3 linked regions of the Arabidopsis thaliana genome follow. The protein of the gene in region 1 interacts with the protein of each later gene in a biochemical or structural test. Each region holds a gene or a part of one and is shown on either strand. Other genes may lie near its edges.

What was found. Proteins that work in one complex are often made in the same cells at the same time.
Region 2: the proteins of HSF1 (region 1) and TBP2 form a complex in vitro, tested with the Arabidopsis thaliana proteins (2 studies listed by BioGRID).
Region 3: of the proteins of HSF1 (region 1) and CRK1, one has a biochemical effect on the other in vitro, tested with the Arabidopsis thaliana proteins (one study listed by BioGRID).

Annotation. Positions count from the first base shown.
Region 1 is NC_003075.7:9,868,370-9,875,299, forward strand, and holds HSF1 (heat shock factor 1), read right to left. Parts: upstream 3,278-6,930; 5' UTR 3,235-3,277; coding exon 2,902-3,234; intron 2,755-2,901; coding exon 1,600-2,754; 3' UTR 1,449-1,599; downstream 1-1,448. Other genes in the region: AT4G17740 (Peptidase S41 family protein), read right to left, coding at 1-64, 174-382, 470-552, 631-780, 877-1,168, 1,270-1,350; AT4G17760 (PCNA domain-containing protein), read left to right, coding at 3,451-3,567, 3,641-3,730, 3,817-3,971, 4,050-4,170, 4,257-4,376, 4,464-4,534, 4,660-4,888. UniProt on the Arabidopsis thaliana protein: Transcriptional activator that specifically binds DNA sequence 5'-AGAAnnTTCT-3' known as heat shock promoter elements (HSE).
Region 2 is NC_003070.9:20,723,534-20,731,402, forward strand, and holds TBP2 (TATA binding protein 2), read right to left. Parts: upstream 4,559-7,869; 5' UTR 4,295-4,558; intron 3,954-4,294; 5' UTR 3,951-3,953; coding exon 3,874-3,950; intron 3,779-3,873; coding exon 3,691-3,778; intron 3,580-3,690; coding exon 3,508-3,579; intron 3,422-3,507; coding exon 3,371-3,421; intron 3,246-3,370; coding exon 3,201-3,245; intron 3,057-3,200; coding exon 2,964-3,056; intron 2,873-2,963; coding exon 2,771-2,872; coding exon of another isoform or gene 2,741-2,770; exon of another isoform or gene 2,692-2,740; coding exon 2,617-2,691; 3' UTR 2,611-2,616; exon of another isoform or gene 2,523-2,610; 3' UTR 1,973-2,522; downstream 1-1,972. Other genes in the region: BCDH BETA1 (branched-chain alpha-keto acid decarboxylase E1 beta subunit), read left to right, coding at 1-100, 269-380, 467-502, 575-634, 706-763, 847-1,034, 1,116-1,184, 1,254-1,340 and 4 more; AT1G55530 (RING/U-box superfamily protein), read right to left, coding at 5,939-6,994. UniProt on the Arabidopsis thaliana protein: General transcription factor (GTF) that functions at the core of the DNA-binding multiprotein factor TFIID.
Region 3 is NC_003071.7:17,146,950-17,155,629, forward strand, and holds CRK1 (CDPK-related kinase 1), read left to right. Parts: upstream 1-3,145; 5' UTR 3,146-3,542; coding exon 3,543-4,025; intron 4,026-4,198; coding exon 4,199-4,329; intron 4,330-4,420; coding exon 4,421-4,462; intron 4,463-4,547; coding exon 4,548-4,656; intron 4,657-4,864; coding exon 4,865-4,943; intron 4,944-5,034; coding exon 5,035-5,331; intron 5,332-5,446; coding exon 5,447-5,559; intron 5,560-5,675; coding exon 5,676-5,783; intron 5,784-5,871; coding exon 5,872-5,934; intron 5,935-6,016; coding exon 6,017-6,184; intron 6,185-6,291; coding exon 6,292-6,429; 3' UTR 6,430-6,744; downstream 6,745-8,680. Other genes in the region: AT2G41150 (plant/protein), read left to right, coding at 6,902-7,227, 7,390-7,482, 7,584-7,817, 7,944-8,046, 8,149-8,378, 8,456-8,680. UniProt on the Arabidopsis thaliana protein: May play a role in signal transduction pathways that involve calcium as a second messenger. Serine/threonine kinase that phosphorylates histone H3.

The sequences.
Region 1 (6,930 bases):
AGTTAAGAGTCTCGTTTCAGGTCCACTGCGAATCGCTAGCTCCACTGCACTTCCTTCAGGTCCCCTGCATTTCAACCAAAGCATTATCATCATTTCTTACTTCAGAACCATTAACTCGTCACACTTAGATTTTTCAAAGTTAAGGAATGATGAAAAATGGAAATGTAACTCACTGCAACATCTGTGCAGCATCGTATATGGTAAGAGTTTCTGTGGTTGTATTATCAATTCCTTGAATAACATCGCCAGGTAATATCCCCGCCCTATTTGCAGGACCTCCTGGAGCAGCTGATATAACAACAAGCCCAGCTGGTGGTCCATCTGATGCAGTGGGGTAACCTATCGACAGCCCAACACCCGTAACCGCCCCTTGAGTCCCCGACTGCCTTCAACCAAACCATTTAATTACTAGATCTTACATACAGTCTATTTGCTAAATTCAGAACTGTATATTTTCAGGAAATCTTACCCGCAAACTCTTGAACTTTCCGGGCTCCAAGAATCGAGTAAAAGGATCATCTAGTGTTGCCACCATTTTCTTGATAGCCATGTCTAAACACAAACCAACACCAAATTTAGAAGCAAGTTGTACTAATTTTGTAAAAGGTTAATAAAGCTATTCACACATACATGTCTCTTCTCGAGTGTTCATAGGCTCATTTCGTAAAGCAGTCTCTCTGTAACGAAACCAGCTTTGTCCATTAAAGGTTTTATCAATATAAGCACGATCAATTGTTCTCCAAGCCTCGAGGAAGAGAAGATTCTCTTCAGTAAGACCCCCTAAAGAGACAGAGAAAAAAAGCCACACAAATGAAATCAAATTGCATTCCCCGAAATTTATATGGTTTCTCAACATGTAAAAAAAACAGAACTTACATGATGGTGGTGAATCAGTGGTAACAACAGAAATGGAAGAGACAAGCAGAACAGAAACGATCCGAACTAATGCAACAGAGAGATTCTGTCTGAAATTAACAGAAGATTTCATCATAACCTTCCCAGATAATTTCCTCTGATCATTTCTTTCGATAACACACAGAAATCTATTACAGACGAACACGACTCCTGGGTTTGCTGCATTGCTCCTTGAAATGTTACTACGACTACGAGCATAACTAAATTTGCTAGCTTTTGAAATCTTTGGAGGTTGTTTTACCCACAATTTCACCTGCAAAGGTTGAAAATTCTATTACACAGCTAAACGGACACAAATTGGGGAATTGCAGGAGAGAAACTTAAAAAGGAGTCAACTATACGAAAGAAAAGTACCTGGATTGAGAAATTAGGGTTTATTTTGTTAGGCTTAGTAAAAGAAATTGGGGATAATGAAGAGCTCGCAAGGACCTCCATTGAAAAGAGCTTCCCCGGGAAAATTCCAACTCTGTTTTTCTTATCGAAAAAGGACTACAAATATGATTGGACAAAGTAGTCACTTTCTACAATAAATTAGAAAAAATGGCATTTTCTTTTTAATAATAAATACAACTCTTCTATTATCCAAGGAAAGATTTCTGCACAAAGTTGCAACCGTACTACTGAGTCCTAACGATAATGTTAGTAGAGAAAGACTTTACAATGGATACTAAACATAATCCTTTACTAGTGTTCTGTTTCTGATGTGAGAAGACCCAATTCTTCTATAAGCTTATCCATATGTCTACCATTTGTGTTGTTGTTGTTGTTGTTGTTGTTGTTGTTGTTGTTGTTGTTGTTGTTGTTGTTGTTGTTCTCTAGTGTAGTTGCATCTCCAAAAACTGGGCTTTCTGGCATATATTCTTCAAGGAATTCAAAGTTACTCATTAGTTCATCAATCTCGGGGTCTTCGGGTATTCCCTCAAGCTGAATCGGGACTGAACCACCATCAAGGAATGGGCTTGGAGAGATGAATGCCTCTGGAACATTCTTCTCTGTATCCATGAAGTTTTCTGTAGGGAAGTCGTTGATACTCTCTCGTGTCAATTGTGGTATCTGGGAAGTCTCTGGCATTATGGTATCCGGGAGAGAAGTTGAAGTAGAGGGTAAGTATGATAAAGGCTGTCCTGATGGTACAGATGCATATGCCTGTGACTGTCCTGAAGTTATGGGTAGTACCTCTTGAAGAGTGACTCCTGATACCTGGTTTGGAGATGAGAACCCGTCAAGAAACGGATACTTATCATCTGTTTTCATCATGTTCCACATCATTGAATCGTTTCTAAGTGGCTGATACTTAACTATCTGTCCATCTGATGCTTCCAAGCTATGGCTATGACTATTACTCTCAGTAGCAGCAGTACTATCCTCTCTGAGTCTCCGCTTCTTATTGGCCTCGGTTACATGCATATTACTATCAGTCTGCTTCTGTATAAACTGAGAGAGGAAAGTAGGATTCTGTACAGCTTTAGCAAGGAAAGACATAATCTGTTGTTGCCTCTGCTCCATAACCTGAAGATGTTTAACCAAAACCTGAAGTTTATTATCTGTTGTTTGTTGCTGCTGGCGTAACTTAACGAGTTCCTGCATCAACACGTTTTTGTCTCTTTTAAGCTGTTCAACTTCTTCCTCTAACCCAAATTTCCCAACCTCAACACATGAAGATAATGCAGCCATTGAACCTTGACCCTGAGATAATTGCTGAGATTGTGGATTACTACTACTACTACCATGTCCCTGAACAGATTTTCTCCGGCTTATCTTCTTCAATAGATGTTTTTGACCTCTTAAGAAACCTTCATTAGCAAATTCCCATCGATCTGGATCCACTTTCCTAAAACCCTGTTCATCAAAATTGGCACATGAATCATATAAATCTTATCAAACACATCAAGCACTAAGATTATTCAACGAAATCATAATCTATACACAGTACAATTAGAGAAATCAATGGTGGAGAAATTAGGGCGCGAGAGAATTTATACTTACATAGGTGTTTAACTGGCGAACAAAGCTGGAGAAATTGTTGTGTTTGAAGTATTTAGGTAGAAGATCACGAGAAAACTCCGGTGGATCCCAAACAATGAAGCTATTGTTCGTCGGACTCCATGAGACAATCGCGTCCGTCGCCGGATCTTCCACCATGTCATACGTCTTGCTAAGGAAAGGGGGCGGTAAAGAGTTCGCATTAAGTAAAGTCGCTGGATGCGGATTCCGCGGTGGTGGCGCCGTCACAGCCTCGCCGATATTCGTTCCTCCGCCGGTAACACCGTCCATTTTCGTACGGATAAAGAAAGAGAAGTATTTGAAATTTACAAACATACCCTTTTATTTCTCTGTGACTCAGATATAAACGCGATATCATAAAGATGGGCTTTTATTTTTCTTTTTAGTTTGTGTGTGGGCCAAAAAGATCAACTTTATTAATAACTGGGCCTGCTAAAACAAATATAATAATAATCAATTTAATTGCTATATTGTCGGCATACATTTTCTGGCGGGAAAGCAGAGGAAGGAGAGTGAGAGAGAGAGAGAGAAATGAGTTCGTCCTCGTCGCCGGCGATTGAACCAGACACACCGGACCTGATTTGCCAGCTCGATAATGTTCAAGGAATGGTCGATGCACTCACTTGCGTCCGATGGAAACGCCACCAGGTTTTTATCTCCATCCTCCCCAAATTCAATCTAGGGTTCTTCTTTGATTTTCTGAAAACTTCTCCGTTTCCAGGATGCTTTAGTAGAATTATCTGAACACGGAATAGTTTTGATTGTTGAAGAATCAGGTTGTCTTCAAGCCAAAGTTTATCTTCAACGCGAGGTATCGATTTCTGAGTTTATCTTAAATTTTCTAAACCCCTAAAATTCGATTGAATCCGAAATCTGTTTGATGTGTTATATGAGTAGCTATTCACGAAATACGAGTATGGAGCTCAAGGTAGGCCGAGATTCGGAATCAGCTTAGGGCTTCTTGTTGATTGCTTGAACACATTTTCATCACCTGGACATTCTAATACTATAGAAATCAAGTATCCAGGACCTGATATGGAGCTTCTTCTCAAGTATGTGTACTATGATCCTTTGCTTTGTGAATATACGGATTACGAGTAATTAGCTGATTGGTGTGAGTGTTTGATTAGATCTGTTGATACCTTAAACTCTTGCATCTACTCTGAGATAAGAACTAGAATTCCCGAAACTGTTACTTGGGACTACAACTTTGAGCAGGCGGGAATCGCGCCACTTACTTTTACAGTAAAGGTAGTAACATAGTTTAGTATCGTTTTTCGTTTAACATTGTTAGTCTGAGCTTTTTCTCAAATGGTAATTGATAATGTATCTATCAGTCAGCGGCGTTGAAGGAAGCAATAGATGATCTTGAATGGCCTGGTTCAAGTGTACAGATCAGTCTTCAAAAGGAACCCCCTTGTGTAATCTTTAGAGGAGAAGGACATGGAGACTTGCAGGTCTTGTTTCTCACTTGTTTCTTGGTGATGTATATTATCTTAATGTGAAAGAATCAAGGAACATATTTCGATCTATCCTCTTTGCAGATAGACTTCATGTATTATGCCAACACAGATCTTCTCCTTGCCTTTCATTGTGATACCGAAGTCTCTTACGGGTAACAATGAACTCAATTCTTTCTCTACCGTAGCTTTATGGTTAAAACACACGCTCCTACGCTTGATTTACCAATCAAGAATAGTAGCCAGATACATTTGCTAAACTTCTCATTGTTGATTGTAGGTACAAATACAAGTTTTTGAAAGCAACAACGGCAAACATACCGGGAAACGTAGTGAGAGAAAACAGGGGAAGCAAACTAACAATAGGAAGAGGAGGAATGTTGAAAGTTCAGCACTTGGTTTCAGTTTCTAAAGCTTTAGCTCCACAAGTGGAATCCGCAGGGTATCAGCCACCGAGTCGGATTGCTTATATAGAGTTCTTTGTGAAGCCTGAAGAGCCTGCTGATTAATAGATTTTCTCCTTCAGTTACTTTATCTTTGTAATTCTAGTTCTTCTTTTTAGTCAGTCTCTCAATACTATCAGTATCAGTATCAGAAAGAAAGAAAGAAAAAGTTTAAGGCTTGCAAAGAAAAACTGCGTGTGGTTTCACTAAATTAGCTCAGATGTCTCGTCGTTTAGTGTTATATCGCTGAACGACGTCGTGCAGTGGAGACATAGGTATGTCATACCGAAAAAAGAAACCGGGTGTATAGTTCGGGGGATTGAACCCGACGTGAATCGAACACGCAACCTTCTGATCTGGAGTCAGACGCGCTACCATTGCGCCACGGATCCGGATGTGTAACATGTATATTTTACTATTTAATATACAAGTTAAAAATAGCTTCACCGTTATAATTTGATCTCTGATTATGATTGGCGAAAATATCTGAGATGGGTTGGTGTTGGTTGGATCAAATAAATAAAAATTGTAAGCAAAACCTTTAAATGTTCTAAGCTTGACACGTGGAGTTAAAACAGACGTCCAAGTAGCTTTCTCACTATTTCAAAGTTGGTTGGACTTTTTTCTCATGATTATTAAATCACACTCAAAAGAGAAAGAAATATAAATGACTCGAGGCCAAACACCAAAAAAAAGTCTTCAAAATATAATTTTAGAAAATCATATGATTATGTTGACAAAAAGAAAAAGTAAATCGTATGATTAGTGTTTCTAATCTTCTTAAGAAAATGATTACGTTTGTTAAAGAAGAGTTTGGGTGATGATTTTATACTAAAGTTAGCAGTTTGTGTGTTTTCTTTAATCATTTTTTGTAAAGAAAATTACCAATAATGTTGACATGATATCATATATCACTACCATCTATTGGAAATAGTTTATAGAAGAATAATTAAATGAATCGACAAGAACTCACACATATACGCAAATTGTTATGTATGTGCACCTAATGTAGATTTGTAGGCATTATATGGTGGGGACGTGTTACCATTTATATTGACATTAATGATGGTATTGACACTTTTGTGGACCTAATCATGATACAAACATACATCAATGCTGCTTATATAATATACTTATATGTCTATGTCGCGCACACACACCCACACATATAAACGGTGGGAATTTATCGAATGATATGCTAATCATTTCTGTATACTAAACGTACAATGTCTCATTTGTGTATGTATATGTACCGATGTACGTATAAACCAATGTATATAGATGTATAGACCAGAGAGACCTAATATACATGGAAAAAATTCTTACTAGAGTTAATAAAACTGATGAACCTAGCGAGTCACTGAGACATGCGAGAATCTCTCCTTTTTGAATGAACTATATATAGTCTAATCAATAACATATTAATAAATTTACGGCAATTTGCACCAATTTGATAATCTAATCATATATTCTTTGTCGGGTTGATAATCTGAAAGGACATTATAAACAATGAGAAATATAAATCCTATTATATACGAAAGTATAAACAAATCATTCCTTTCGAATCTTGACAACCAATAAATCCTACCCTAAGAGATTTAATTATATATTGATTAGAGAAATGTATTGTATTCTTCGAAACATATGCTCATGAGCACGGACACGGTATATTGTTTTACTGATCATCGGTTTAAACATTTGAAATTTTGAACTTACTATCTACATATGTCTTCGGTGAACAAACCTTTATACGGATTGATAAATAATACTCTTCGAATTTATTAATCTTATTAAGCCCACTTGGCGTGAGAAGAAGGTATATAAATACTAATAGTAGTTGAAATATACTACAATAATTACTAAAGTAACTGCAGTAGTTAAGATTTAATTTAACCATAGTCAACGAAATCGACGCTGATATTGATATTTATTGGAATTTCGACTTGCGAGCCTCTTCACATGAATTTAGGCTTTGAAATTAGAGTTATGATCATTGAAGTTAATGTAGCGATCCAAGCTTATTATTTTAATTTTTAATAGCATTTCTAGTAGTAGTAGATAGTGAATTTAATTTGGACTGTCCAATTTCTTTTATTAATACATAGCTG
Region 2 (7,869 bases), on another chromosome or scaffold:
GTCACGGAGCTAGGAGGGTATCGACGGAAACTGGAAAACCATTGAATCTATACTCTGCTATTAATCAAGCGCTTCACATCGCTTTGGACACCGATCCTCGGTAAGCTTACACTAGACATTTGATCCTTAGGTTAATAGACATCTAATACATTCTGTGGAGAAAGATAAAAAAAATGTGGGGAATTTAGTTAATTAGTATACACATATAGTTGCTTCAAATATGTATGATGTCGTTTTAGAGTCTGACTTTAAGTTTTTGTTGTGGGAGGTCTTATGTCTTTGGGGAAGACGTTGGCTTTGGTGGAGTCTTTCGCTGTACAACAGGTTTAGCTGAACGATTCGGGAAAAACCGTGTCTTCAATACTCCTCTTTGTGAGCAGGTATCATTCTTTGACCTGCTTCTGTTTTCACTTCTTAAGGTAGTGTTTCTTGATGAGTCATTCATTTAAGTTTTGACTGGATTCAGGGCATTGTTGGATTTGGCATTGGTCTAGCAGCAATGGTGAGTTCTTGTTTGTGTTCATGTTTTGAACTGTACAGTTGTGAGATTCAGTTTGGTGTTCCATTTTGACAGGGTAATCGAGCAATTGTAGAGATTCAGTTTGCAGATTATATATATCCTGCTTTTGATCAGGTAAATGTTCTCTCTTTAAACAAGCATATGCTTTCCGTCGCCATATTTCTGAACGGTTTTGTGATTTATAGATTGTTAATGAAGCTGCAAAGTTCAGATACCGAAGTGGTAACCAATTCAACTGTGGAGGTAAATCTTTCATCATTACGCTTTTTCTTGATTTGTTATTAGTAATCTATTTTACTCATTATGGTTTATATGGATCTTGATAGGACTTACGATAAGAGCACCATATGGAGCAGTTGGTCATGGTGGACATTACCATTCACAATCCCCTGAAGCTTTCTTTTGCCATGTCCCTGGTATTAAGGTTGTTATCCCTCGGAGTCCACGAGAAGCAAAGGGACTGTTGTTGTCATGTATCCGTGATCCAAATCCCGTTGTTTTCTTCGAACCAAAGGTACTTCCATTTCTTTTTTACCAACCAAATCAGCTTCTTAGCACCTCTTCTTAAGTCTTGAAACGTTGATATTTCCTTCAGTGGCTGTATCGTCAAGCAGTAGAAGAAGTCCCTGAGCATGACTATATGATACCTTTATCAGAAGCAGAGGTATCATAAGTTCATTTTTGGCCGTCTATTTTCGGAGACGAGAATCTCACTATTAGGAGTTATGAGCAGGTTATAAGAGAAGGCAATGACATTACACTGGTTGGATGGGGAGCTCAGCTTACCGTTATGGAACAAGCTTGTCTGGACGCGGAAAAGGTTTATAGCTTTATCTTTCAACTCAATGATGAATGGTTCGCAGTAATATTAACTAAGGTCTTGAGTTGATGCAGGAAGGAATATCATGTGAACTGATAGATCTCAAGACACTGCTTCCTTGGGACAAAGAAACCGTTGAGGCTTCAGTTAAAAAGACTGGCAGACTTCTTGTAAGATTTAAGCAATCTTGATTGACAACTTCGGATTTTGATTTGTCTGGTCGATCTTATAGATTGCTTTTGCTTGTGCTTGGGGTTGCAGATAAGCCATGAAGCTCCTGTAACAGGAGGTTTTGGAGCAGAGATCTCTGCAACAATTCTGGAACGTTGCTTTTTGAAGGTTAGTAAAAAGAAAGCTCAAATCATCACCGTTACAAGTGACTACTCTTTATTGGTTCTCCGTTTCTTAACTGTCATTTAAAATGCAGTTAGAAGCTCCAGTAAGCAGAGTTTGTGGTCTGGATACTCCATTTCCTCTTGTGTTTGAACCATTCTACATGCCCACCAAGAACAAGGCAAGTTCCTCTTCTCTTATCATTCCTCTATTCCGACCCAAAACGCAGTTTCTAACATATCATGTGTTCTTGCTTGATGCAGATATTGGATGCAATCAAATCGACTGTGAATTACTAGCCGTACTATCTGTAGTTTACTGTTTACACTAGGACTAATGTAATCGCATGTCTTTGTTATCAATTCGTCTAATGTAACACTACCGATTAACTTTAATGAATTTCAAGATAACGAAAACATGTTATAATAGGACTATCTCACTTAATGTGTACGAAGATTATTATCTACTGAAAGATGAAAGCTTATGATCCAAACATTTGACAAACCAGAGCGGCAAATTGCTTGAAAGAGTATATTAAAGGGCAAACAGACTTGGTGTCTTATTACAGAACAGTTAGCAAAGAACTAAGTAACTCTTTAATGATTGGGTATTGTTCACTGAAACAAACAGAACATGAAACAAGATTACTTGGAAGACATTTTTAGAACAAAAAGAAAAGAGATTTATTGGCATCTCCATTCTCTATTTACAATTTCTGGTTTTGAATCTGAATCATTTCAAGTTCTTGTCCAAGGAATATAACCCCACCAAGCGCCTGCCAACACCCGAGATCTCTAGTTCATGGCAATCCAAACGTGAACATGGTTTTTGCCTTCAATATGGTAGGCTCTGCTTTCGAATCGAAATAGTCATAATCAAACTGTTGATTGATTAAGGGGTATAAAATGTAAATGGAGATAAAGAAAGTTGAACTTACATACTATTATTGCTGGACCTTCCTGAATTCTCTAAGAACTGGGTAGATATTCTCAAATGCGGTATAAGTCTCTTCTCTCATCTGATTCGGGATTTCATAAGATGACAGAAGCATTTTCATGGAAACAATTTTAATCATTTGAGAGAAGTTCAATTATTACCTTGGCTCCAGTTATAACAATCTTTCCTGACACAAAAATAAGCAGTACAATCTTTGGAAGTTTCATCCTATATATCAATCCTGGAAATAGCTCAGGCTCGTACTGGCATCAATGATGAGAGAGGTATGAATCATCAGACCGATTAACACCCATGTTACAAGTATATATGATCACAATGCTTGAGATCACTTACACTTGAGAAAGCACTATGAGAGTATGCAAGACCTTCAAGCCTAATGGGGAATTTGACATCACATGAGCCTACAATGTTCTGTATCTTAAAATCCTGCAAAATGTAATCAGCAATTTTATTACTAGACTTTATACGTAATTTTTCCTTCCGATAAAAATACACACGAATTGTTGATTGAGATAAAAATGAATAACACAGTGTGTGCTGGATCAGGACCAGAGAGAGACATATGAGTACCTTGAACTTTGCAGGAAAGCCAAGCTTTTGAACAATCCGAGCATACTGAACAACAAAAAGGAATTCTTTAATATAACAGAGAACAAATACCTACTAGAGCTGTAACAAGTTTCTAACTACAGTGATGCTAGAAGAAGAACATCAGACAGTATTGAGATGAGCTAGTTTACCTTTCTTGCAGCAAGCTTTGAAAGATGTTCACTTTTAGCTCCGGTACACACCTAATATTGGACAGCATAGATGCCACGTCAAAACAAGGACATGGAAGATTAGGCCATAAGAGAAAAAGTGACAAAGGAAAACATACCATTTTCCCAGAAGCAAAAATTAACGCTGTGGTCTTTGGCTCTCTGATCCTCATGATTACAGCAGCGAAACGCTGGAACATAAAACACAGATTAAAACCAAATCCGAAAATACAAACCAAAGTGGTGGAGACCAAACAAAATGATCGATTACTAAAACACGAATATCACAAAGAAAGCAAAACCTTGGGGTTATATTCAGCATTCCTAGCTTGCAAAGCTATGGCTTTAAGATCAAGCTTGCAGTCTAAGTTCACTGTTGAGACAATATTTCTGAAACAAACCAAAAAAGAAAAAGGTAAGATCTTGTGATTCACAAAAGCACAAACTCAGAATCTTAAAACAGAGACACAAAAGAGAGAACTCACTGAAGAGTAGGAACAATCCCTGAAGGATGTTTAGTAAGGTCAACTGGCTGGCTCCCTTCCGTTCCTTGATCAGCCATTCTCTAACATAAGAATCAACGTAAACACACACACATCAGCTATAAATCTCGTCTTAAATAGGGCAAAACAGAAACTCATGTCGATCCAAACCAACAAGCATCCACGAAACAAAATTGTTTTCAAGCTTTACAATTTCATTGACCAAATCTGGTTATCTAAAAACCAGTTTTGATAATTGAAATCTAGAAACATTGTTTCACAATCAAACAACGAAAAGCTATGAAACACACAACTTCAGAACATGAGATCCAATTCGTAACAAGCAACTACGAAGAAACTCAATTCAGATAAAATCCGTGGAATTGAATCCATTAGGAACAAAGGGTACGAAACAAAATCAGACCTTTCGCTAGTTAGCAATCCGGAATTTCGAAATCTAGGGTTTCGTAAACCCAACAGATTGGAAGAAATTCCCCCGAAAAGGCGAAAGGAAGGTGAATGATTTGAAAAAGGAGAAGGCTTTTTATACAAAGATAAGAAATTTTTAGAGAGGGAAAGAGATTTGTAAATTGGGATTATATATAAAGGAGAGAGTTTTGATTTTCAATATCGCTCTCTGGGTTCTCTCTCTGGGGATGAGATTTGTGATCTGCGCTTTGGATCTGTGGAGCTTAAGGACACGTTATTACCTCTATATACTTTCCTAAACTACCCTTGCCTCTCTTTGTCGGATGAGGGTAATTATGGGAATTCAGCTTATTAGATTTTAATGTTACGGTCTTTACTGGAATTTTAGGGAACCGTCCACTCTTTGTCTGCCACGTGTTCTATTACAGAATGTGTTAGCATACGTTTTTTTGTTGGATCTATATGTAAGACTATAACTCAAGACACGTTCACAAATATGAATCGAGTAGAGACTATGAATCGCCACAACGACGGACTTATTACAAAGCAGTAGATTATCAATTATTGCATGAAGGTGCCAACTAAAACTTGTTAGAGATCATCACTCATCAGTGTCCGGGTCCTTTCTGACGAGTACGTGCCGATTCACTTCGTCTGACACCAGCTTTTAGATTATCAAATTGTTGTGCTCCATTTCCTTCCCCTTAATTTATAATAATAATAAAAAAAGAGATTAAGAACTGAATATGAGTTTTGTTTATGCGTGATTGTATTTGTATGATCAAAGACGGTCACTTACTCGGCAGAGTTCGGCCCATAGTCGTGTTGTACGCGGAGACCAAGAGAATAATCAAAGTGATTAGGGATAAAACCTGACGATTCATTACTTCTTCTTTTGGATTATGACTAATCTGAGAGATAATGTAATAAGTTGATACTACAATACTTATATATATACAAGGAGATTTGGTGAAACGTTAATATATTAGTATATATACTATATCAAAGTTAAGTTCGTTAATGTCAAAAGGTTCGTTAATAGCGCATAAAGTTGGTAACTTTGGTCGCATTTTACACATGTGAACTCTAGCTTTTATAAATTCTAATTAATGTTTACGCGTAAACAAAAGATTACATGGTAATGCAATCATGGATTAACACAAGGAAAAAGCATCACTTCATTAAGTTTAGTAAAAGACATCATATTTTGTTTTGGATGACGACATATTAAACGAGTCGGTCTAAGTAATTAGGCATACAATATTATACAATTCCATTTCATACAACAAAGGTGATGAATGTTAAATTACTTTTTATGTTTAAATTTATAATTTATTACCAACACAATTCGTACTACAGCCACCAATCTTGTTATTTTACCATTAAGGCATTAATTTAACAAACTAAGTTGCAAAAGTGGCTTTGGTTGACAACAAAAAACACACAAGCGACTTACAGAATCCGGCAAAAGATTTGCTCAAAAACAATTAAAAAAACACAAACTGAAAGATATTTGTTTTCCAAAGATGTAGCATTCAACCAAATCTGAGAAACTTATGTACAGACAAAAGATCAGATTTAGGTAGAACCGAGATTTCATGATCACACCAAAAAGCTTATGTTGCTCAGGGAACATGTCTTAACTAGAATCCGTTGGTGCATTGCTATCTTGCGACGAGGAGAACAAGGTGCTAAACGGCCACGGGATCGAGAATCCGCTTCCGTCATTGTTCTCGTTCTCCTCCTCCTCCTCCTCTTCTTCTTCTTCTTCTTCTTCTTGGCGCCGGTTTCCATCGCTGTTCTCAGCTCCATGGCTGGTTGTAGCAGAAGCACTACTGCTTCCATTGTTATCGCTCGTTGTTGTTACTGAATCAGTCTTGGCTTCATCTGCAGGTAACTGATATCTGCAAACCGGGCATGAACTGTGAAGCTCAAGCCATGGTAACAAGCAGTCACTATGAAACTTGTGCGTACAGGGCATCAGCTTTGCCTCAGTTCCAATCTCAAAATCATCTAAACAAACCGAACATTGCAGAGTCTCTTCGATTTTCACAGTAGCCAAAGCCTCGACAGCTTCTTTTTTAGCAGGAGGTGTTCCATATCTGTTGGGATCATTCTCAGCTAGACGTTGAAGCAACATTTCAAATCCAGGACCAATGAAATAGTCACCTAAAGAACCAGCAGGTACAGAATCCATATCAGCAGAGTTTTGAACCGTGATAGTCTGATTGGAGGTATTGATCAAGATCACCCGTCCCGGATTATTACCTCCATTACCAGTACTCTCAGATTCTACAGACAACCCTGCTCGTATCCCCTGAAGCAACTGCAAAACAGCAGCGGAATGTCTTCTCCTTCTCCTGAGAATCTCTTGAAGCTGCCAATCCAAATCATTTTCTCCATCGTCTTCATTGTTCTCGGTCTGTACCTCGTTTTGATTATCTTCAACAGACTCAACACTCTGGTTTCTCCTACGACGCACAGGATCATTCATAAGTTCCATCAAGATAGGCGCCCAAAGAGAGTTGTTTGCTCTAACATCAGCCGGATCAGAAGAATCATGATCGTCGTCATCTTCCATTTCTTCAACAAACCCACTTTGACAAAAGGGACATTTGATCTCAGCTTCCATGACTGGATTCACAGTTTGAGAACACATATGACACCAATACCTCGTTACAACTGCTTCTTCCATGTCCGATTCTTTCTACCTAGAAATAACCACAAAGAATAATTAAAAAAAATAAAATAACACAGAATAAGAACTTGTAGCTAAATGAGTAAATCTCGTTGAAGAGACTAATATACATCTGTCAGCTAATGAAGTTCATCGAACCCCTAAGAGCGAATAAGGAACATCAAAGCGTAGAATAAAACCCAATCATCAAGACACTGAAAAACCCAATAATATCAAAATGTCAATAAAAGAAAATGACTTTATAGAAGAGAAATGAAAAGGGTTTTGAAATCGTCAATCGCAAACCAGAACATTTATCAAAGTAGACGAAATCGTAAAAGTTTACAACAAAGTCATCGATTCAAAGATATGAGCTTTTGTTTGGTCGGATTCAAAATCGAAAGAAGAATCTGCGTTCCATCTTGAAACCCTAACCATAAATCAGCCGTTTTAAAGAAACGATAAAAGTAACAGAAATTAGCAAACCTTTTGAGTCTTGTTGTTCGATAGCAGAAACCGAGAAGCACAGAAAAATGTAGCGACGATGAAGAAGGATTTTGAGTTTTGAAAATTGAAGAAGATGAGAAAAAGAGAGGGTTTCTTTGTTTTATGTACGAAAGGAGGAGAATTGTCGTAAGAAATTAGAAAAGTAGAAGAAGAAAAGAAAAAAAAAAAGATAGGAGAGAGTTTATCCAAGAAAGAAAAAATGAAAAGGATCCTCCTCTTCTTCCAGATCCTTCTGGGTTTCTCATTTCTTTTCTCTCTGTGGGTCTTATTCTTAATTAGCTGCTCCTTTTTTTTAATCAGCTCATTAATTCCAGTAGACTTTTCTACAAACATCAACACGTGTACTTGGATTCTTTTTGTGGGCTTTTAAGTATACTTTTATTAGA
Region 3 (8,680 bases), on another chromosome or scaffold:
ATGTTTTTTGTTTCTCCAAAAACTTTTTGATAACTTTAAAAATCTAGTAAATGCAACATTTTCTAACCTTTTAAAGTATATTTGAGGGTTAAACCGAGAATTAAGACTTACAAGTCTTGGGATAATCACTCTATAAGAAACACTTTATTGTGGTTTGGTTCACTTTTAAACCTTACTAGATATTTTCTAAAAGTTAGTATACATAAAAGTTTACAAATTGTATCTATCTATAAAAAAAATTATTTTATAGTTTACAATTGTTATTAAGTAACGTCTTGCCAAACCCGTCCCGCCAACCCGTCCCGTAAAAAACTATTTATTTTATTAATATTGATCTTATTTATGATATGTTTATGAATTATTGTCTAAATATTTTGTAATTTTGTAGTAATTAAATGCTATCAAATATCTCTGCGGTTTGATGATTATAATCGAATTATTATAGTCATGGAGAAAAGCAATATCAAAAATAATAATTTTGTAATAATTAAATGATATTAAATATTTTGCAAGTTTTATTTTAGTAACTAATCGTGTAGTTAATGTTGAGAGATTTAGGGAAGATTGTTAAATGTCAAATATTTAATTATTCAAAGATTTTTTTTTCTAATTATCAAAAACAAACATTAAAATCTAGTGGCAGTTATTGTAAATAATTCCCAACTATAGGATTTATTTCACAAAATGGCTGCTATATAGATTTTTTAGATAAAACCGATCAAACTCTTTTTCTTTTCAATTATTAAACTCTTTGATGGGTTAAGAAACATAAAAACAAAAAGGAAAACAGAGGAGAAGAATCGAGGATCCAAAAGCCCATCTAAGGTGAGAGAAGAGGGGTCCAAACTGAGATTGGAACAAAATCGGTTTTAGGGTTTCAGAAAGGCCCAAATTAGATTCGAGTAGAGCAGTCCCACAGTGACTCCGACATGACAACACTTGAGTTACACAAGACCACCACGTCTCTATACTCTAAGTCTATGCCGTACGTCAAAGGCACCAACTCTTTCATCACATATATTATTAATCAATTTATACAAAACTCCAAATAATTCACGGGACCAATACTGAATCGAAACTAAACGAATTTGTTAAAATCGGACTTTGTAGATGCAACCGAAACAGAGTAAGTACATGAAAATACGTACAACTGCATGTGATTTATTGTGAAATTCTATGGGAAAAAATTGAATTGACATATTATGCAAAATGCCCGTATGTTACATAAACTTTTATTTTTGTGTGTGTGACTTAACATGAGTGTATAAATGGAACTTTTTTTGTTTTATTTTGTTTCATATAAGAATTTACGATGTAGGAAAAAAATTAGAAATGAAAAGAGGTGGCAAAAGAAAAAGAAGTGGGAGAAAATAGATGTCAAGGAATATTGATATTCTTCTTTTCTCCGATACATTACTTTTCCTTCCATTATCTTCTAGTAATAATTTAGGCTTTTGCTGCCAAATAACTCACAACCAAAAAAGCCCACCGAGGAAGATGGTTGTTAGGGTTTTTCTCTGTTTTATACTTTCCTTGGGCTATCTTACGTACGTAAAATATTTCTTTATATATTTGTCTAGTTTCATCTTCAATCTGAAAATATTATTCAAGTTTCAGGTACGATTCATCAATCTTTGTATTGTAAATTGACTCTTCTACAAAAAAAAAAATGAAAATAGAAATAAGAACCAATAACTAAACTTAAAGAATTAAATATGCTAATTTCAATTCCAATGTGCCAACAATGAACGCAATTATTTGATCTTAGACTAAAATAATCACTCGAGGAACTCGTTTCAAAAGAAAGAAACCAATCAAATCATTGCCTTCCAACTACGGATACTGAGTTTTTTTAACTCATTATAACACGTGAGATCGTCACTATCTCACGCATTTTTCTTTTTGGGTGGGTAATTCACTATCTCACGGATTACATAAATGTTTATGGATTATGACGATTGGCTGCATTGGAAGATGTATAGCCCAAGAAAACATATTTAATCCAGTATGATAGCCTTGTGATGCTCTATAATTTAAAGCATGGTTTTATATATAACTGTGACGTAAATATCAAGGTCTAAAAGCATTGTCATTTTATTTTTATTTCGTATAAATGAAAACTTTAGTCTAAAACACCCGGTCATGTAAAAGTTAAAGGAAAAAGAAAAGAATGATAGCTGATTAATTATGGCAATGTCGTACTATACTACGTCGAGAACTATTCATGATTAGATATTCATCGGTATGATAAATCATATATATGTGATGTGCCTAGTGCAGAAACCCAAACTATTATTTATTTATCTACTCCTTTGGGCTTTGACGTGCAAGTAAATTCTTAGATGTTGTTTTCGAAGTTTATGGGTAGGCAAACCAAAATCTGGAATGAGATATAGAAGAAACAAAAAGAATTTCGAGAATGAAAATTATGTCTCATTTTAAATTCAAATGAACTATAATTCATAATAAGAACATATGTTAAATGATGTTTTTACAACTTGATATGGATTTAAATTACATAAAAGAGAAAACACAACTTTTACCTACTCCTTCTCACAACTCATTCATTTTTGGTGTAAAGTTGATATATGTGGTGGACAAGTGAAATTTGGCAAAACTTGGTTTAACAATTGGCTAACCCTATGAAACAAATTAGGCCTTTGGGTAGAGCTTTCTTTTATCAAGTACCAACTTCGAGGTTATATATATGCTCTGCTTTTATATATTTTGGCATGATTCTAGGACTCTTTTGGATCCTTCGATTGATATTTGTAGACATAGCAAAATTGGCAGTGCAAAGATAAGGTTGCTGTGTAAGTCTTGATAGAATTTAGCAAATATAGAGACTACTCATCTCGTCTATTCTCTCTCTATAAGTTAAAATTGATGGGTTTGATATCAACAAGACATTACAATATTTCTAAAACATAAGAATATCTATACATTAGCCATCAATTAGCAACAAATTTTTTAATAATCAATTTACCATCATAATTTTGTAGCAAGTTGGTGAAGGAAGACTCTTTTCTTGGCAGCCAAACATCACATTAATCCCATTTTAACAATAAAGTGATTAAAAACTAAAAGAACTGAATAAAATAAAAACAAAAGAAATGAATGAAGCCTTTGGCTTTGCTTTTTCTCTTTTTGATTCTCTCCACTTTATTTTTCTTGTTGCTACTGCTAAAAAAAGCATCTTCTTCTTCCTTTTTTCATTCTTAAGAGTCTTTTGCTTTTCCTTGTTCGACTCTCTCTTTTCACTTATTTAGCTTTTGCTTCTGATTGGAACTAAACTCAATTCTCTCCTTCTTCCTCCTCTTTGCGTGTGGTTTATCTTCCTCTAATTAATCTATTGATCTCAATTCTCAACCTTTTTGTTAATTTCAATTTCCTTACCCCTCTCTGCGTTCTGGGTTTCCGAGTCTCGATTTCTGGGATTTCTTGCTTCTCACATGAATCTGTTTCGCAACCTAACTTATTCATCGGAGTGATATCGATATTCTTCTCAAATTTTGAAGCTTTTCGTTTCGAATTGACAATTCATGGGGATCTGTCATGGAAAACCCGTCGAGCAACAATCAAAAAGCCTCCCAGTTTCCGGCGAAACTAATGAAGCTCCGACGAATTCACAGCCACCGGCGAAATCCTCTGGCTTTCCGTTTTATAGCCCGAGTCCTGTACCTAGCTTATTCAAATCCTCACCATCTGTATCTTCTAGCGTGAGCTCAACGCCTCTTCGTATCTTCAAGAGACCTTTCCCTCCTCCTTCTCCTGCTAAGCACATACGAGCTTTCCTCGCGCGTCGCTATGGCTCTGTCAAGCCTAATGAGGTTTCGATTCCCGAAGGTAAAGAATGTGAGATCGGTCTCGATAAGAGTTTTGGCTTTTCAAAACAGTTTGCTTCACACTATGAGATTGATGGTGAGGTGGGTCGTGGACATTTTGGATATACTTGCTCTGCTAAGGGTAAAAAAGGTAGCTTGAAAGGTCAAGAAGTTGCTGTTAAAGTTATTCCTAAATCAAAGGTTCGATCTTTGAAACTGAAAATCAATTTCTCTTAATTCTGTATTCGTTATGTTGTTTTGAAATATATGACAATGATTTCGAATTCTAGTTTTATCGCCATGTGTTTATAGAAGTATACAGCTTGTTTCTCGACCCCGAGTCATTGCTTAGTGTTGAATGGTTTTGACTGCAGATGACAACTGCAATTGCGATTGAGGATGTTAGTAGAGAAGTGAAGATGTTGCGGGCTTTGACTGGTCATAAGAACCTAGTCCAGTTCTATGACGCGTTTGAAGATGATGAAAATGTTTATATTGTCATGGAGTAAGTATACATTTCTCAGTGAGATGTCTTAAGATCATTTGATTTTCAATTCCAGGATTGCAATAAATATATTGTAATCTCCTTTTACCAGATTATGCAAAGGTGGTGAACTCTTGGACAAAATACTTCAAAGGTAATTGCTAATCACACATGGCTCTGTATCTGATTGATTTTCTCTTCTGAATCGTGCTTTGACTGGTTGAGCTTGATCTAATTAGGGGTGGAAAATACTCCGAAGATGATGCTAAAAAAGTTATGGTTCAGATTCTCAGTGTTGTGGCTTACTGTCATCTACAAGGTGTGGTTCACCGTGACCTTAAACCCGAGGTACTTTATAATCCATGGTGATGTTTAATTTCTAGATTGTTCTCTCATTGTTTTTTTTTGTAAATCATTTTGGCTTTTGTTGACACTTCACTTTCTAGGTCCCATCACATTAAGCAGTCTTTGTACACATAGAAATGAGTTCCACTAACTTATGCAGAGTGATAATGACGGTTATGTTTCTTTCTATTTGTTTGTTTACCTTTCACAGAACTTTCTTTTCTCTACCAAGGATGAGACTTCTCCTCTGAAAGCAATTGATTTTGGTCTTTCTGACTATGTCAAGCCAGGTTAGAGATGTTGAAATTGACTCAAGATTTCTCATATCAAACTCATCTTCATGTTAAATAGAAAATTTGACGGTGTTTTGCAATTCTGCAGACGAGAGGTTGAATGATATTGTAGGGAGTGCTTACTATGTGGCCCCGGAAGTTTTACACCGTACATATGGAACAGAAGCTGACATGTGGAGTATAGGAGTGATTGCTTATATTCTTCTCTGTGGCAGTCGACCCTTTTGGGCCCGTACTGAATCCGGAATCTTTCGAGCTGTACTAAAGGCAGAACCGAATTTTGAAGAAGCTCCTTGGCCTTCTCTATCACCCGAAGCTGTAGATTTTGTGAAGAGATTGCTAAACAAAGATTACCGTAAAAGACTAACTGCGGCCCAGGCTTTGTGTAAGTATAATATCTTTGATCTCTATAACAGGTTTAACACATCATTATTTTGTTTTCATGGTTCTGCACTTCTTATATTCTGAACATCTGAGTAATCAATTGTCTTTTTCCTCAGGTCATCCCTGGCTGGTTGGCTCGCATGAACTAAAGATTCCATCTGATATGATCATATACAAGCTTGTAAAAGTGTACATAATGTCAACTTCATTGAGAAAATCGGCTTTAGCGGTGAGTTTGATTCCACAGAAGCTGTGACATATATACTACTTACTTAACAATTTCAATTGTTGAGTTCTTTGAATGAAAACTTTATGATTAATGGGTTTTGTTTTTCATGGTTTTAGGCTCTTGCCAAAACATTAACTGTACCGCAGTTAGCGTATCTTCGGGAGCAATTCACATTGTTGGGGCCAAGCAAAAATGGATATATCTCGATGCAGAATTACAAAACAGTGAGTTGTTTTTCCATGATTCCATCAACCTCTTCAGTTTTCTTTTGCGATCTTCTGTGATTATTGAACTTTCCTCTACAAATCTCAGGCAATCCTAAAGAGTTCAACAGATGCTATGAAGGATTCTCGAGTGTTTGATTTTGTTCACATGGTAAGAAAGCTATAAATATAAGGACTATAAGCTTAATCATTAGGTTTGGTGGTTTAACGTTGTAATCTCTGTTGGGATGCAGATAAGTTGTCTTCAATACAAGAAACTAGACTTTGAAGAGTTTTGTGCTTCAGCATTAAGCGTTTATCAGCTCGAAGCAATGGAGACATGGGAGCAACATGCACGGCGTGCTTACGAGTTGTTTGAGAAAGACGGGAATAGGCCCATCATGATTGAAGAACTTGCATCGGTATAAGTTTTACCCTTTTTAATTCACCTAGGGGCTAGAGAAGACTCGTGAAGAGCAAAAAACCTGGTCATGCTTGATCTTAAGCATCTGTATGTTTTAAATTGCAGGAACTCGGACTAGGGCCATCAGTGCCGGTGCACGTTGTTCTTCAGGATTGGATAAGACATTCTGATGGCAAACTTAGTTTCTTAGGGTTTGTCAGATTGCTACATGGCGTGTCTTCTCGGACCTTACAAAAAGCTTAGAGTAACGCCATTGTTAGATGAGAAAAGATGCAACTAGGTGGAGTAGATCTGGTTTCTTCTTTCCTCTCCACTTCTTGATAGTTTTTTTAGTTTTCTTTTTCTATTCATGGTTAAGCTTCTGAGTCAAAGATTCGATAATTATGTCTGTGAGTGTATTTGTGTGTGGTGGGAAGGAAAGGTTTATGAAGAAGAGGAATGTACAGAATGAGACATATCCGATTGGTGTTTTTAATCCAGTGATGTTTACGTGTGAAGCACTCTTTTAATGGCAGCCGGAAAAAACAATTTGTCTTTGTGCCATCGTTGGATCAGAGCAATGATACGACACGTGATTGTGTCTCACATTGTCAGAGACAACCACGTGACTTTGACCTTAAGATCTCTGATCTCATCTTAATCTCTACCTAACCGTCGCAAAGATTCTTTCTTTCTCTCTTCTTACTCTGATCTAGACACTACAACAGTTTCATTAATGGCGACAATGAGCAAACCCCATAAGTTAAAAGCCACTCCAGGATCTCAAAGACTTGTTCTGTTATGTATAGTCGCAGTTGCATTTCTCCTCCTTTTCACTTCGGTGATCTCCACCGGCGGATTGGCTTTACCGTATCGGACAACCCTAATTGGTTATTTTGTGAGGTCAACTCGAAACAAGACACAGCATAGTTTGTCGGACAAGTACTTGTACTGGGGAAACAGAATCGATTGTCCTGGTAAGAACTGTGAGACCTGTGCCGGTTTGGGTCACCAAGAATCTAGCCTTAGATGTGCCCTTGAAGAAGCCATGTTTCTGAACAGGTAACTTTTGCAAAATCCACCAATATGTCAAACTTTTGAGATTTCTGATGAAGTTCTTGAAATGGCAATTAGCCTATCTGGTTCAATGAGATGGTTAGTTGAATAAATGATGCAGCTCTCTTGGTAAAGATGGTCACTGTAATTGCAATTTTCTTGTTGCAGGACTTTTGTAATGCCATCTCGGATGTGCATCAATCCAATACATAACAAGAAGGGTATACTTAATCGATCCAACAATGAAACTAGAGAGGAAAGGTGAGAGTTTCTTTAAACTACTTCAAAAACTTAGGTTTTGTTTTGTTTCCCACTTTTGAACACAAGAGGTCTCTCTCTCTCTCTCCTTTGTATGTTCTTAGTTGGGAAGTGAGCTCTTGTGCAATGGAATCATTGTATGATATTGATCTCATCTCTGAGAAAATACCTGTGATCTTGGATGACTCGGAAACATGGCACATAATGCTATCGACGAGTATGAAATTGAAAGAACGTGGGAGTGCGCATGTATATGGGGCAAACAGGCATGAGCTAAATGACTCTAGCGACTTTACAAATCTTTTGCTCATTAACCGAACCGCAAGCCCCCTTGCATGGTAAGCATTGCTGAGGAAATTGTGTTTCCAATAGATTGGGAAGTTGCTGCTCCTTGAGCATTATTTTCTTATCTTGTTTGTGTTAGGCATCATCATTATCAGATCATATATCTATCTTCATTGTAGGTTTGTTGAATGCAAGGATCGAGGTAATCGTAGCGACGTCATGCTTCCTTATTCATTTCTCCAGACTATGGCAGCATCAAGATTGAGAGATGCTGCAGAAAAGGTGAAGGAGTTGCACATAATCTAGCTTTCAGGAAAGAGTGACCAGATGGTAATGTACTGTTGACGCCTTATAGCTTATTTATGACCAGTTTTGGTTGAACAGATAAAAGCAAAACTTGGTGATTACGATGCAATCCATGTTCGTCGAGGTGACAAACTGAAAACAAGAAAAGACAGATTTCGCGTGGAAAGAAGCCAGTTTCCACATTTAGATAGAGACACACGGCCAGAATTCATCATTGGCAGAATTCAGAAACAAATCCCACCAGGACGGACTCTTTTTATCGGTTCTAATGAAAGAACCCCTGATTTCTTTTCACCTCTAGCTATCAGGTAAAACCATAATGTTTAGATTCAAGTTTTTAGTTATATATGTAGAATGTTCGTGTAAGACTCTTGTTACACTGCAGATACAAAGTGGCGTATTCATCGAATTTTAGTGAGATTTTGGATCCGATCATCGAGAACAATTACCAGTTGTTCATGGTGGAGAGGTTGATAATGATGGGTGCAAAGACATTCTTCAAAACATTTAGAGAGTACGAAACCGATCTCACTTTGACTGATGATCCGAAAAAGAACAAGAACTGGGAAATACCAGTTTACACCATGGATGAAGGCAAAGAAGCAGCAAG